2 linked regions of the Lytechinus pictus genome follow. Each later gene encodes a partner of the first gene's protein in a complex. Links are inferred from orthologs where the notes say so. Each region holds a gene or a part of one and is shown in the gene's direction. Other genes may lie near its edges.

Evidence for each region.
Region 2: cyclin-dependent kinase 9-like (region 1) and ELL-associated factor 2-like share a complex: the UniProt entries of both Homo sapiens proteins name them as parts of the super elongation complex. The link is inferred for Lytechinus pictus from reciprocal best matches to the Homo sapiens genes CDK9 and EAF2.

The regions. Positions count from the first base shown.
Region 1 is NC_087259.1:1,407,408-1,416,111, reverse strand, and holds the start of cyclin-dependent kinase 9-like, read left to right. Parts: upstream 1-4,992; 5' UTR 4,993-5,293; coding exon 5,294-5,469; intron 5,470-5,478; exon of another isoform or gene 5,479-5,757; intron 5,758-5,781; exon of another isoform or gene 5,782-5,907; intron 5,908-8,704. UniProt on the Homo sapiens protein: Protein kinase involved in the regulation of transcription.
Region 2 is NC_087257.1:29,619,725-29,628,478, forward strand, and holds the start of ELL-associated factor 2-like, read left to right. Parts: upstream 1-5,043; 5' UTR 5,044-5,487; exon of another isoform or gene 5,488-5,717; intron 5,718-8,754. UniProt on the Homo sapiens protein: Acts as a transcriptional transactivator of TCEA1 elongation activity. Acts as a transcriptional transactivator of ELL and ELL2 elongation activities. Potent inducer of apoptosis in prostatic and non-prostatic cell lines.

The DNA.
Region 1 (8,704 bases):
CCAAATTCATCATGGTAATATCTATATTTCTGAAGATATAGTAAATTTTACGATGTTTGGCAAGCAAACAATTTTCACTAAATTCCATGGGTGTATGTAAACTTTTGGCCTCAACTGTATGGATTAACCATTGTTTTAACATTTCACGGTTCAGTCAAGTTGGTCCTTGTGATATCTATAAAAATTATATATTTTAGAAGACCCTTGACCCATCATCCTCAACAACACATGGATGTTGTATTACCCAAGGATCATTTGAACCAAGTGTGATCACAATTGATGAAAAAATAAAGAAATGAGAGCAAGTTGAACAAAAAAAATCAAAAAGAGATGGACATGACCTCATATCATTTGACCTTTTGACCCCTAGATCTCATATGTGGTATTACCCAAGGATCATGTAAACCCAGTTGTTGTGTGTCCGGACAGGTTGTGTGTCTGGACAATGATCGATTTTTAAACAGCCATTTGGAAAAAAATTTCATTAATTTTTAGTTCAAAGTGTGAGAAAATAATATAGAGGACAAAATTAGAAAAGATTACAATTATTGAATTATGTAATTTCTGAAGGTTTCTTGGGCAAGTGTTGGTCCTGAAAAGGACCACCCAATCTTGACGTTTCAAGTGTGTTCTTGTCATCTTCAGGAGAATGAGCATAGTTTGTAAAAGCAGGCCTTATATATACTCTGTCAAAGTGCCGTGTGCACGGTACCTAGCAGGGTACTTGTCTCTGATTGGCTAGATATAAGTCACATGACATCCACATATGCAGACGTGGGTGACAACACACAAAATTGGACGCGCAAAACCAGCGACGACCGGAAATGCCGTCAATTATCATTCCTGCTAAGATTAGCATGAATGACAAAAGCCACCACTTCCGCCTGTACACTGCAATGCTCACACGTGTGTGGAACGTCCCGGCAGGCTAATTAGACTAATTAGCCTCTTTGTCTAGAACAGTAAGCCAGATATTGCTGAGTTGGAGGCTGCTGTCTTGAGGAACAGTGTTATGTTCCTCAATCTCCAACGCTTCTCTGACTCTCTGCTGATGGCCACTAGGGGACATGGGTGACCAGTCTACTCTCATCCCAGAGAATCCGGTGATCATGCGTGTGAGCATGATCGATGATTGCAGACTTGTCCCTCTCGTCTCTCCTACCATGGGCCTTGCATGTAGGTTCCTTTAATCCAAGTGTTAAAGGAACGACCCATCTCGCCGATGTAAACTTTACCGCATTCACAAGAAATTTGGTAAACTCCAGGGAGGTCCTTGGAGTTGTGCTTGTCCTTGTGGGTAGTGAGGGCAGATAGAAGCAGATAGAATTTGAGGAACTATGACGAACCTCAATGTCGGCTTCTCTCAAAATCCACTGAATCTTGTGAGAGGCTGCTCCGGTTCCGCGAGGGGGGAAGCTCAGTGCAGATCTTATGTGAGGGGTAGTTGTTACATTTCAGAACAGTTTGATGTGCTCAAGTTCACCTCTCGGGTGGATCTGGTCACTAACCTCATGGGCTCGTTTGACCAACGTCTTGTTGATGGATCTCAGCACTGATGGATGGTGGAATGAACGATAGTTCTAGTACCGATCAATGTGAGTAGGTTTGCCATAAACCTGATGGGATAGGGATCCCTGTGCCGTCCTCGTAATCTTTGTATCAAGAAAGGATATAGACCCCTCATTTTCCATTTCCATGGTGAACTTGATACACTCATGTTAAGAGTTGAGGTGCTGAAGAAATTGTATTGCTAGTTTCCTCAGCTCCATAGTGCCAAACCACAAAAGTGTCAGCCACATATCTAAGCCACACTTTGGGTTTGTGATTGGAGAGCCGTGTCCTCGAAATGTTCCATGAACATTTTGGCTACTACTGGGGACAAGGAAAAACCCATGGCAGCCCCCTCTGTTTGCCTGTAGAATGTATCTCTCCATCTGAAAGAGGTGGAATTGAGCCCGGGGGGCCAGTCAAATATATTGCTGTACACACGCATGACAAAAAAAACGCGTTTAAAGGGGTATTCTTTCGGTTTTTGACGCGGTCCGCGCGTGGACTCGTTAAGAATATCAAAAACACAGATTTTCAGGAAAAAGGGTGGTTTTGAAAGACTGGTCAATGGTCATTCGCGGGGTCAAACGTATTTAGGGTATGTTTTTTCCCAAAGCTTTTTTTTTTAAGACTAGCCAAACTTGTTTAGGGTATTTTTTTTTTCCAAGCTTTTTCCCCCGAGGTCATATTTTGGCGATAACTTGTTAAGGGGCCAAGATGTGTAAATAAAGCCTGCAAAAAACTTGTTTAAGGGGCTATTTTGCACACAGAGAAAAACTTGTTTAGGGGGTGGTCACGCGTGTGTACAGCAATATATTTGACTGCCCCCCCCCCCCCAGGGAATTGAGGCACATCTCAAGCAGGTCATGGATCTCTAGGGGAGACAATTGTGTCCTGTCAGGGAGAGTTCTGTCAAATTTCAATCTCTCAAGGATGATGGCGCAAGCATCCTTAACTGGTACACTCGTGAACAATGACTAAACATCAAAGCTGATGAGATTGGAAAGGAGAACGAACGAGACAGAACTTTTCCTTTTTTTGAGGGTCCAGTTTGTGCCTCGATGTTGGGATTCTGTGTCACGATAGACTTTCATCCATATAATCAAGGTAAGTGCATAATTAACTTTTCCTCTTTTATTTGGGGTGCTATTGCTACCCATTCTACCCCAGTTTATAGAGTACCCTCTGCCTAATATTACACGGACGAGTCCTGGGGCCTGTTTCATGAAATGGTCTTTGGTAGAACCGCTCTACGTATTAAGAACGAGATATCGCTCAACTGTTTCACAAAGCCGATTTGGGCAAGGAAGAATGGTCCTTGGAAAGACACCTTCAGACATGATCTTCTTTGCACACCGCCCGCCACCGTCGGCATTGAGAGAAAATGCGTTTACGGCAAGCCACACTGACATATCACCTTTAAACATTTTTTTGGGGGGGGGTCATTCGATTGCACTCTGATGCATTTTATCTGGGATGGCGCCAAGTTATTTTTTATATGGGGGCTAGTTGTCATCAACGGATGTCATTTTAACTTCTCCGGGGTAATAGGCCCAAATAATTTTATATGTTTTTTTATTATTCTCCCTCCGTCTTTTCCCCATCCCTTTTTTTTTTAATTAAAGGAAACCAAAACCCAAGAAGAGAAGCAATCTTATGGGAAAGAGTAAAATGAGAGGAACGATTTAAAAAAAGTTTAATCAAAATCGGTTGAACATACATATCTATATTTTTTATTTTCTTAAAGTTTATATTCTTATATAAACTTCCATAAAGTTGTCAACTTAAATATGACAAACGTTTATGATCGTTGTCATTTTTAGCATTGTTTCTGTAAATAGTATTTTTTCCATTGCGGATTGATTTCACACATTTTTCTATGTTTTATTATTGCAAAGCACTACTTTACCCACTTGGACATGTTTGCACCAATTTTCATATTTTGCTTGTCTTGGTATGTTTATACTACTCTAAACACTCACATGTATTTCTTGCGTTATATCTGACAAATGAAATAAATAAATTAGATTTTTTACATGCAGTCTCTCATATTTTCCTTTTTAGTCTCATACAATCAGACACATTGACTTTGTTTACTCCATTCAAACCCTTATTTTACCTCAACAAATAACATTTAATGCATAATTTGCAAAATTATCATTATAAATAAGTATTCTATGAAAATACAGATTATTGAACAAATAATACTATGTCGAAATTACTTAGTCAATTCAATTTTTATGTCGGACAAGGGTCTCTTTCGTTAAAATATCAATGAAAGGTGTCTCTAAAGACTAAAAGGACATTGTGTTCTAAACAAATCCATTTATTAAAGGGAAATAATGAAAATCTCGATTTTATCCAGTTTGTTAGTGAATCTTTAAAAAAATTATTTTTCTCTTTTTACCTCATTTATAAATAAAGTAAGCTCCATACATCAATGATCAATTCTACAATCAGTAATAAATAAAACATTATTTGATCTCCATTTATTGAAATATATGGTTTTATGAAAAGTCGTCATTCCGAAATAAAAGGTTCAGGTGATGATGAAGACTAAATATTTTTCTGATAGTATAATAAGTATAACTGTTAGTATCAATTTCAAACGATGTCGCGGACTTGGAAGACAAAATTGCCTTCATGACCCGGAAAGCGCTGATTTGTCGCCAATCTTCCTATCTCGGAAGAATGGTCCTAGCTAGGACGTTCCTATGTATCGCTCATCTCGTCATGCAACAGGCCCAAGCTCATCGTGAAACAGGCCCCTGGCCTGGGCTCCCTGGGGCCGATTGCACAAAAGGGTCTTTCCAAGGACCGTCTTTCGTGTCGCCCATCTTTTATGATACGCCATGTAAAACGCATTTCAAATAAATTATCTGCAAATATATTTTATTTGTCCGTTAAAATAAACAAAATATTTGTTAATAAAATGATGTGATATCTCATTTTGTATAAAATTTGATTTAAAAGCAAGCTTACGAATTTTATTTGTTTATCATAAATTTCAGAAACACCCCGCTTACAGCGCATCATAAAAGATGGGCGACACGAAAGACGGTCCTTGGAAAGACCCTTTCGTGCAATCGGCCCCTGGGTAACTTAAGTTAGGGGACCACGGCACCATATGTATTGCCTGTCAGTGTCAGACTCAGTGTCAACTCACATTCACAACAACTGAGGCATGTGAGGTGAGGCAGCTCAAGGCAAACAAAGTTTAAGAAGCTCTCAATAAAAAGAAATGAACTTCCACAACATGCAAAAATTCCATATTAATTTATACTCACCTTAAGATATCCGGTCAGCAAAAAAAATGTAGTTATTGACTTAAAAACACTTTTAATGTCCTTGGTTTTCCCCACAGCACAGCCACAGCCACCACAGTCCACACAGATACAGGATACAGGTTTGGAGGTGTGTCCGATACGAGTATTTTGATTGGTTGAACACGAATGACAGAAAAATCCCAGACCCTAATTTTAAAAAAAAAAATTCACTAGATTTGTTTCTCTATTTCCAAACGACATCATTAAAATAGATACTTAAATCATTTTCAAAAGAAATGAAAAGCGTCATGAATTTCAGTTGTTCTTTGAAGTCTTTGAATTCTTAACAACTATAGTTTCATATTTTAAATCGAAAGCCTTGAAATTAATATCGATTCCGATCCCATGCATGCACTGCATGCACTGCACTGTACTAGCTCTCGAGTACTCGCTTCTTTCATTTCAACGAAAATGTGAAAATGGCTGAAAGCAAAGCGTCGACGTTTTCTGGACCACCCGGTCAATCGTCAGCTAATCAAGGATACAAGATGGCAATGGCCCCGTATCAAAAAGGGGGAGAATCCATGGAATTCAAATATTGTGAAGAAGTCACTAAATATGAAAAATTAGCAAAGATAGGCCAGGGAACATTTGGGTAAGTTACCGAAATAGAACTGTAGCGCAACATGCAAACCTTGGACCACAACAGAGCATGTCTTTTGCACATGTATTGGATGGAGAATATCACGATTTCGTGTTGCGGTAATTCATATTGCACAAGAGAAAAATCACCAAATTTGACAGCATCGCAGCCATTTGTGTGACTAGTCACTAGTGGCCTTATCGTGAAATTTGCTTCGACTTAATCACCTCTCTTCTCTCGTGTGTGTAGCCAGGAGGCTCCTAGTCCTAGACCTAGGCTAGATAGTAAAAATCATTCACTAATGTGTGCTTACTCTCCACTTACTAGGCCAGGGATTGCGTCCCATTCATCATGTGCATGTACCGCGAAAAAACTGAAATTTTCACCCCCTGGCCCCAGATTAAATACTTTCCTTCAACAGATCTAGCCATGATGGTCCTGGCTAAATGTAGGGATTCCACTGTGGGTGCTGCACTTACTATCTTACAAAAAATAAAAATAAATCATCATGATCATGCACGCGCGTTATGATGTCATCGGGAATAGTTGTGTTTCTTAATTCTTTCAGTTTCAGCATTCATGAGTCATCGGTCATGACATGATTAGAATGTACAAAAAAGATGCATTAAAAAATGAAATCTGGCCTTATTTTTTTTTTTTACATTATTAATCTGTGATGAATGAATTTCGAATATGATACTTTGCTTACCTGAGTCATGAACGATGTTTCTGATTTTAAAGGATTTCAGGAGTCATATTTCCATGCTCATTTGCTGAATGAAGTCGAAAAAAACGGACGCATTCCAAATTTCTAGAGGCCGACAGATTAAAAATCTTTAAAAGTCTTTGCACTGACAACTGCAATGACATGTGATAAAAATAATTAAATGGCCACCCCTAGACAAAAGTGAAATGAACCTGCCGTGGAATGTCAAAGTCAGGTGAAGTATTTGAATGAGAGTTACAGCATAAAAACATGATAACTTCTTAAAATAAGAGTTTTTAATGCTTGGCATGTGCAGTTGTGCTGAAAGGTAAAAAAAATGTTTACGAATCATTTTAAAATTGCTTTTAGCAAAATATTTTCAAGGATAAGCAAACGCAAAGAAAAAAAACTGATTTGTGACGTCATCAGCTCATGAAAATTCATCGTATCCCACGATACGGCATCTGGATACGGTGATGTAATTTTATGCAACTAAATTTGCGCGAACAGTCATTTTATGAATTATGGTTTTCAGAATATGTAATGTGCGTTAACAAAATCTATGTTGACCTAATGAGTTTTTTTATGTCTATTTAATGCTTCTTTGGCCCCACAGCCGTAACGGTTGCGCGAATTGTGATTGAAGCAGAAAATTAAGGCACTACTGATATATCAATTAAAAAAATGTCAAAGGAAAGGAATTAAAGTCAATCTCATTTTATACTAACAGTTTATAGATTTATTCACATCGATAATATTGATAAATTTACTCCATACTTTCCAATGTCTAGATCTCTACATCCTTAGAAAGTGCGATTAATTTTGTGAATGCATGTTGCTTCTTATGTCAATGACCAACTACGTTGATCTACGGACCGTATGCGTAGCCCCTTGCCTATAAACCTGTAAAGACATAGGTGAAATCAAACAATTCATCCAACGATATTCAAATTATACTAGCAACTCATGTGGGCGTGAACAAACGAAATACATATCCTCTAAAACGTTCAAACATATAAACTTCAATAATTTATACTTGAAATGAATATCTATGAATAAATTGTTAATTCCACTCTATCAGAAATATGTTTAACAAAGTATTGTTATTATGTTGAATGTGTACTTCTAAATCTATTAAATCACGTACCCCTCCAGACCCAAGGTGGATTTCCCAATTGTCATGAAGATTATTCAGCCACAATCACAGCAGACACATCCATAAATGAATATTAATTTCATTCACTCCGAACATTGACTTCTTTTCGCCAATCCCCTCCCCCACAAACATCCCATCATTTCCATTTACATTGCCCATGACGACCCTCATATTCTCTCTTTCTCCTTTACACAGATTAATTTCAAATAATATTTTATTTTAAATCGTAATTGTTAAGCACATGTACAACAAATTCATAAAGTATTCACTGTGATGACTAAAAACATTTCTTGGGACAGTGACATGCGCGTTCATTATCTAATTGGCGGGCAAAGAGCAATAAAGAACAATACAAATGAAAATACACTGTACCGAACGTATATAACTCACATTAAAAATGAGTCGTAATATGATAAATAGTATGAATAATATAAATAAAATCATTACTTAGGGAAATTATAATAGATTCAATGAATATCTGGAAAAAAAATAATAATTCAAATTAAATTAGTTTTGGACCCCATCTAATTTTGGAAGACTCTAATCAAGGATTTTGATGCCATGTGCGATTTGTAGTTCATCCTAACATCGTTTACCACATAATATCACCCATAGCAACCATCACATCCAGATGTCACTCTGACAAAATAACAAAATATACACTATTTTGGGATATAGCCTGCCGAGCTACTAGCACGTAGATACGGCATTTATTTCACATAAATTATCAACACTTTCATTTTTCAAAGTATGAAAACAACTTCTAATAAATTCTGTCTGAGAATCATACATATATAATGTTTTTATACCTCTTAACATTAATCATGTGAAGTCATAACTAATTAAACTGTTATGCCCTAACCCTAATTATGCCCGGGTTTAAAAAAACAGATATAAAACTGAATCAGCACTAAACTCTGAAAAAACCGTATGGCCACCGCAATTTAAACTTTGATGCAACAACGTCTCCTACCAATTATCATTTTTTAATTCACTCTATAAAAAGAACTCCATATTAAAAAACGTGCTAGTGTGCGGTCCTTGGAAAGCTAGAATGACTTCCCCTACAACACCACACCCTTATCTCGCATCCCCTCTTTTCATATTCAAATGAAACACCTTCGACGCAACGGAATTGAATAATTCCGTCACGCATGCCGGAGAACAATTAGTGTTCACCACTTATTGCCGTATAAACAACAGTGGAGGAGCCGTGGTGTAGTGGTTCTGACTCTCACCTTGCAAACAGAGGGTCGTGTGTTCGAATCCCACCGCGGTCTGGCGTCCTTTGGCAAGGCGTTAATCCACACTTTGCCACTCTCGACCCAGGTGCTAAATGGGTACCCGGTAGGATGTGAAAGTCATTGTAGCTTGTCCAGTACTGT
Region 2 (8,754 bases), on another chromosome or scaffold:
ACCTTGTAAACCTCTTTCTCAGTCAAATGAGAAGACACACAACAAAAGCAAGAAAAAACACACATTACAAGAATGACAAAAAAAGTTCATTGGGATAAATGTTGCATATAAATATACATCTGATTGTTTGTCTCCTTAGTTGTGGTTTTGGTTCCTCAATCCATTTTGTAATCAGACAAAAAAAGTTCCCCTTGTATGTCGAAGAGCTTTTTGCAGTGCTCCCCTACCGCTCCCCTTATAACTTGTATAAGAGTTTGTTATTGCTCCCCTCATTATCATAATATGAGTCCCCGCATATATTATTGTTTTAAAACATTTATTTGAAACAATGAATTAAATCACAATCAATTTTACATGCCAATACAAAATATACCCTATTGGTAAGTCAACAAAATGGTCAGGAATAAAGATATAAATGAGGGGATACATGGGCGGATCCAGGAGGCCGAAGAGCCCCTTTACTCCAATATTCTTTTTTCTTTTTGCTCTGCAGAAAATGCCCCCTTCTGAACTGTTCAAACCCTGCTTGTTTCTTCCCTGGGAGCTACAACTGATCCTCAATTCAGATTTTTGTTATCATCATTAGGCCTATAAATGTTATTTGTTTCTAAATTTCAGGAAGGAAAGAGGGCCTTTCAAGCATTCTTATACCACAAGAGAACGTTAGAAGAAAATGCCTGAGACTCTGCAGGAGAGAAAACCAACTTATAATATTTACTGTCATTGTCTCCACAACGGATGATCGATTTTATAATGGTGATTCTGAGTAATCTTCTCGACACTTTTTAAAATTATTATAAATGTTTATGATTTCTAGATGTCTACATAATTGTGAACGAAAACCGATTTCTTCTATAGGTCATTTTTTCCAGGTTACAGGGACCGTTTAACATGTTTAAGATCGCATAGCATATGGGACATCTGTTTGTACTGTAATAAATAATGAAACTATTGACATACATAATTCATTTTTAAAATTGAAGGTCAAGTCCACCCAATAATTTTTTTTATTTGAATCAATAGAGAAAAATCAAGCAAGCATAACATTGAAAATTTCATCAAAATCGGATGTAAAATAAGAAAGTTATGACATTTTATAGCATCGGTTATTTTTCACAAAAAGGTTATATGCACAAATCAGTCACATGTAAATGTGAGAATCGATGATGTCCCTCACTCACTATTTCTTTTGTATTTTATTGTTTGAATTATACAAATATTTCAATTTTTACAGATTTGACAATAAGGACCATTTTGACTAAACCATATTAATGTTAAACACTGGTAATTCCATATGTTTAGGGAGAAATAAAACTTTGTTTCACAGGACAATGGGGAGAAAATTAGAATATTTTATATAATAAAATACAAAAGAAATAGTGAGTGAGTGATGTAATCAGTTCCCTCATTTGCATACCTACCGGTATAAGCGAAATTTATAATGTCATAACTTTCTTATTTTACATCCGATTTTGATGAAATTTTCAGTATTATGCTTGATTTTGATTTTATTCTTGTTATTTGAATTAACTTTTTGTTGGGATGGACTTGTCATTTAAGTATAAATGTATGAATCTAGATCATATACATTAAATATTTTGTGAAATATACAAATATTTATAAACAACTATAGCATGAATTGATGTATTTAGAATTTAAACATGTTTTATTGTCGAAGATTTTTTTTTTTATGATTAGAAACTAGCTGAAAGATATTTAACCTTGCCATGCTTGTGGATCCGGATTTAAATCTAAAAGATTTTGACTTGAAGCTTTTGAGATTTGTCAGGACCATGATGTAAAACAGTTTTTTAACTGATCTTGTCATCCTGAATAAATATATTTGAATAAATAAATAAATAAAAGTAAATCATTTGGATTCAAAATTCGGATGCTCTCAACTGAATTATGCACAGCCGCTCATTTTCATATATTCGATGAAAACATAACAAAACTTTAGAATGCAAAAATAATTTGCATTATTTTGGAATAATTGTTAAATAATCATAGGGTGAGTATGTGTCATGATCTGGGCCTTGTCTCACAAAGAGTTACGATCAATCCGATCAATCACAACTATATGGATGGCAAACAACATCAACTAAAAAAAAATCAAATTTGTTTAAAATATTCTCTAGATATGATGTACTTTCATATATTTTATAGTTCTATTGAAGATTCAGTGTGATTCTCTTTGTTTTAAGGAGATTGTGCGAATTCCCTATAGAAAAAAATTATGACACTGATGGATTTCCATAGAGTTACGATTGATCCCACCTGCTGTAACTCTACTATGGAAATCTATCAGTGTCATATTTTTTTCTACAGGAAATTTGCAAAATGTACTTTGTAAACAAAGGAGATCACACCAAATTGTCAAGAAATCAATGAATTTATGGATATACATTCATATCTAGAATTTAGGTAAAAAATAAACATGCATTTTGTATGTTGACTTTGCTGGCTTTCCATATTTGCGATTGATTGAATCAATTGCAACTCTTTGTATGACGGGACCCAGCTCTCGCAGAAGCTTGTTACGGATTCTCTAATGAAATCGGTCCCTTATTTGTACACCTTTTTTTTATAGATTTTTTAGATTTTATTTCCGTTCAACAATTTTTTCAAATTTTTCCACCTCCTGGAATTTCAGGGTTGATTTTTTTCTCAGTGTATAAAAATCATTTTTTTTGTGTTGTAGTCTTGACCTTTAAGATACAAATAGCAGATTTGAAAATAAATTTTAAAAAATCGACATCATGAAGATTTACTATTACATCCTAACTATTAATGTATAACTGTTTTACGAAAAGTGGTAACCAAGAAAAACTAGAACTTTTGAATTTAATTCGAAGTTTTATTTCTGTTTTTTTTCTTCATTTATTCAAATCATTCTATAGATCTAGATTTTAACGAGATATATTATTAATTATACAATATTACAACAACGAAAACGAAAGTATAAACGTTTAACTATGAATGGTTATCATTACTAATCAAATAAGGCTTAATGATGATATTTTTAAGAGCCTTAGTAACACTAAATTATTTCCATCGTCATTTTCAGATGTTCTGTAAAATTTTCTAATGAGGGTATTTTGTTTTATTTCGTGTAATTTGATCCTTTGATAATGGCCATCAGCCCCGTAGCCAGGATTTTCAATGGGGGTGTCGATTCCTTCTCTTTCGTTGATGAAAAATTTGACAATAAAAAAAAATGAAAAAAGCGAATTTCTGTTTTTTCCCTTATTTTTTCTTGCTTTTGAAAATTGGGGGGGGGGGGGGTGTTCGATCGGGCCGACCCCTCCCCACCCCCTAGCTACGGGCTTGACCATACAGTTCTAAATTGCATGTTCGTATTACATTAATTGTATCTCGTGTGTAACTCTTTGCGAGTTAATTAATTATGTTTTGTTTTTTGTTTGTTTTAACTAAATCAGTATACTTCTCCAAAAAGTATTGCCTCGATAGACTGATGCTGATTGATTTAATGAGTCGATCGCAGCGGCAGATCAAGCCAAGAAAATTAGATTCATTGTATGATTATTGTTATACGTAACGATTGTGTAATCAATAAAAAGTTTCAAAAGGACACACAAAAAAAGCATGTCTATATAGCTTTGGTGAAGAGTACTTGAGAATCATAGTGTTCAAATCTCACAAAATAATGTTTAATGGCGTGCTGTTTAACACTTGAATGGGAGAGTTTGTTTATATCCAGCACACTTTCTTAATATTTTTGTTGTTGAAAAGGAGAATTGAAGACCTATCTGTAAATAGGATTTCAGAAAGCTAACCACAAAGACCATTTTATACCAATTTATAGCAATTGAGTCTTGCAACTCTGGTTTGACTGCTCTCCATGCAAGAGAGTGGAGAAAGTGCATACATTATGTGCAGGAGGAAACCCCCAGATTTTGAACGGGCATCCGATCAAAACAAATTTTCTTGTAAAATTTTTAAATACACCCATTAAACTGAAGCAAGGGTTTACTATTTATCATTCCATCCACACCAAGACAGTTTTAGGAAATTTATACAATCATTATGTGTGCAGTGAAAAGAAAAATATAGGGATATTAGACATATTGTAGGCCTAATTTTAGAACTCGAAGAAAAAGAGTATAAAAAGGTCTGGGGCCATATGTAACTCGATCATTTCATTAAGAAAATGACCTCTTGCACTCGAGCTCCTTTAAATAATCAGAAGCCTGTATTTCATGAAGTACGTTTGTGCGGGATAGGAATCTAAGGGATCGAGTCCCGGCCGAAAACTACGTCTAAAATATTTCCTTTTTGTAAGCTTTATACCCATGCCTCCCCCCCCCCCCCCGGGCACCCATGATACTGTTTCTTTTCTGTTTCTCCCTTTCTTTTTTTCTTTTTGTTTGCCAGCCGATTGGACGCTCATTTTCACACTAGTGCTATTATAAAATCAAACTTCAATAAAGATGGGTGGGGGCTTGTGGATGCTTGTGCTCCATATTTTTCACAACCAAGAAAAAAGGTAAAATAGTAGGGTGTATTATGATAATGTTTTTTTAATATTATGTTTAAAAAATCTATTAAAAAATTTGATTCTTGTAATTTGAATGGTCAAAATTCACAAATATATGCCACATCTTGCCCCCTAATTTTTTTGGGGGGTCATTACGCCACTGATCTCAACAGAGCATTTTCCTACAAAGGCCCTATTTCTTCCCCTCCCCCTCTAATTCCTTTTTTTTCTGGGGGGGGGGGGGACATCCGACTGGAGTCCCCACCCCACCCGAGCTGCGATGTCTGAATGAGATATCCATGAGCTCCATGAGATATCTATGAACTTCCGATCGGCAGTGTGTGGATTTGGAGCGAGCAAGCTGAGCTGTCATATTTCGATAGAATCCCCTCGCTTTATTGGTTAATTTTCGATAGAGATAATTGCGCAAATACGGTGCTGATTGGCTGCCGTACTTGAGAGTCTGATGGTTTGTTCTCATGCCGAGACTCCAAATTGCATGCCCGCCACCTAACCATTATATACTATAAGAAACCCATCCCTTCAGCCAAAGCCCGGTTAGCTCAGTCGGTAGAGCATCAGACTTTTAATCTGAGGGTCGCGGGTTCGAGTCCCTCATCGGGCGGGAGCAAATTTTTTTTAAATTTAATTCCTCGGATTTTTTTTGGTCATGAATGTTATTTTTCCGGTGTTTTTCCCAGCGTCACGAAAAATTCGACTCCATACGAAGAAACACTACCGAGAGTCAACTCCTACTGAAAGTCAAGCCAAGGCAGCAAAGTCAAAGACAAGGCTTGTCAAGAAAACAGTCCCATATGGTTACATTCGCGTGAGTGCGGTATACCGGTACCGTATTATCAACAAACGCAGACGTTCAGCAACTGTCGACGTGGACTGCTCATTTGTGGATGATAAATTGCAAAATTCAGTGAATTATAAACAACAAGATACAGACCTTCAGAATCGCCGTAACAGTCACTAACATAAAGGTTAGTGACGAGAAATAAGCGTGTATTCCACTTTGATCTGTTTAGTGTTGGTACCGGTACTAGTTTTGACGATGTTTTTATTAGGGGCCGAACGTTAGATCTAAACAGTCATGATAGTGTGACTAGTTGCCGGTAGGTAATCGGTATAGCCTACCGGCAGTACCGTATGAAAATCTATCTGAGACTGAGACCTGAGTGTCTCGCTGGGGCTTCTTTGGCTCATGTGTAATGTGAGTGAGTGTATCACAGAACTGTGATTTTCTGTATGGATATGTGTGCATCAGAATTGTATTCACTGGTGATCAAAATGGCATGCAGTGTTGTAACTTGTACTTGTAGTCGACATTATTATATGCATCTTCAGAAATGCTGTCCGGCGATTGATAAATGATTTTAGATTTACTTAGCATGCTTAGGCCTGGCCTGGTCTGGCCTTGCCTTGGCTTGGCTTGGCTTGGAAATGGAATTAGTCTATAGATCTAGATCTAAGTTAGTCTTATTACAATACTATTACTTATTAGAATTTAAATAACATAATTTTTTTTTAACTCACTGAGAGTGAGACACTGCACTGTGCAGTGCCCTTACGCAAGTTACGGAAGTTAGAATTAGATTGGTCCCACCTTAATTGAATGGCCCTTAAGTAGGCACTTCAGTTGCGCGAGCGATCATGCGGACAGATCAGCTGGACGTAGATTTTGCATTGCAGTGAATGGTGAGCGCATATCTAACACAGACAGTTCGCTAGCTATGCTCGTCACTTCAGCCGAGTGCTGGAGTGGCATTATGAATACATGTAGCTCGAAAAAACAGTCAGTTTCTTCCTTTTATTCCGCTGATTTTGATTGGTTAAAAATTCTTGTGGTTGCTTCTTACATCTTCTGTAAACATCGGAATTCGGAAATATACAACACAGAGTTTCACTTACCTTCGTGCGATGGAAAGACCTACCTAGGCTACATACAATATCAACATGATCAAAGGAAAATGAAACCTTTGGAACAAGATACATGTAGCTGATGTGAAAACAGAAAAGTCAAAGAAACAGATCAACAAAAGTTTGAGAAAAATTGAATAAATAATAAGAAAATTATAAGCATTTGAAGTTTAGATCATTATTGTAATGTAGATCCTCCCATTGGCAATGCAACAATGATGCGTGATGTCACATGTGAACAACTTTCCCATTGCATTTGTATATATTTCACTTAAAATGCCTCTTTTATCACATCTATCAGTTGATTATGAATTCTTTCTATATGAGGGCTTGCAATACAGATTTTCAAGTAATATATTGTGGATAAAGAGTTTGAATCACCACAAGCAAGAGCCAAAAGAGACAGTTTAGGGGTATTTTATAGTCCATCAAATGGAAAGTTGTTCACGTGTGACATCACACATATTTGTCGCATTGCCAATGAGAGGATCTCCATAGCATTAGTGATCGCAATATTCAAATGTTCATAACTTTCTCATTATTTGTCCGATTTTTCTCAAACTCTCTTTGTTCTTATTCTTTGATTTTTCTCTTTCCATACAAGTCCACTTGTTCCAAGGGTTTCATTCCCCTTTAAGGTATTTCTTCTCTTTGCTTGTAATCGCCTTCTTGTATCATCGGATTTTAGTAAAACTCGGTGTATAATTGCATGAGAACATTTTATGAAAGTTTTATCGAATTTTGTTCGCAAAGAGCCAGCGGTTTTGAACTTCAATTTTGAGTGTTGTGAGGTGTTTTCAAATCTGACTCACTGATCAAGCAGGGGTGTTGTTTTGACCGTAGGAGAAGCTGTGAGTGACGTCATCCCCGCTGCTATGGGCATCGAGATTAGTCTGGATATTCAGACACATTTGGTTTCATTTGTTGTATATATTTTTAAATTACGATTTGAGCTCTCGTAATTATGAAATTTTAATTGTTATTTTGAAAATAATTTTGTAGAATTTGTGCAAAATAAGTATTCAGAGCAAAACTTTAAGTAAAATTCAAGAATTTTGTTTGATACATGTAAGTGATTTTTTGTTAGAATGCGTCTGAATGTCTAGAATATGGTATTGTTAATGGAAGTCCTATTCTTGAATGGCACAGGAAGCCCTTTTCATGAATTTTAATTTAGAAAAGGTTTGAGATGTTTCATGAATTTGATATCTGATTATAGACCTTTGTTATGGTGTTAATTATTATTTCGAAGAAATTATGAAATAATGAGATAAGACAATAATGAGGCAATAATGATGAGACAATGATAATATTATTGAGACAATGAAATAATTATTTGATAATTATTATAAAAATAATTATAATTATAGGCCTGAAAATTATCGAGATAACAATGATAATAATTATTATTATAAAATGTAATTATAATTATTATGATAATTATGATTGTACAGGGGTGTGAGACAATATTAATGAGACAACAATAATAATTATCATGAAAATAATTGTAATCATAATAATAAAAATGATTATAATTATAGGCCTAATAATTATTTCGACAATAATATTTTTTATTACAATAATAATTAAACAACCTACACGAGAGGATGCAGAAAACAGCATGTTCATGACTTACATATTCTATATAAATTCTATTTTGACTGGACGCCCTATTCCTGGAACGCCGTGTGCAGCGCTCTTTACATCTTAAGCTTTTTCGAAACATTTCATATACTTTCGTTAGCAGATCTTTGTCGTCACTAAATAACGCTCGTTTTTAATGTTGGCATTTTTTATTTTTTTGGGGAAATACATGGATACAACACTTAATGGTTTAACTTACATATCACTGACTTGAAATTAAAAAAGTTGAAACTGATTACAAAGAAAATACGTTTTTTTATTATATGTCACGTGATTGATGACGTTTTTTGACCCCTGTACCATAATACGTTCGGGGGGAGCCACTTCCTTTCAAAGATGCACAACATGATTGTCCAAGAAAACTCGTAAAGCCGGTTTAAGTTTCATCGTCGGGCGATATCTGTGCGTACAAAAGAATGGGTATCAATAGCAACAAATTTATTATTCTTTATTTTCAATGAATACTCAGGAGTTGTTGTTTTTAGTAGGTTTTCTCATAGTGTAAACAACGTCCCCCGGGTACAGAGGTTTTGTTGCTCTCGGGTACTCTCCGATTTGAGAATTATCTTGTTCGTTTTGATCATCGTGTTTTGATCATCGTACACATTTTTTATTCGGAAATGTTCGGAAAAGAAAACGCAGCTATATTTAGTGCATCACATATGTGCACACTGCATATCGTTGGT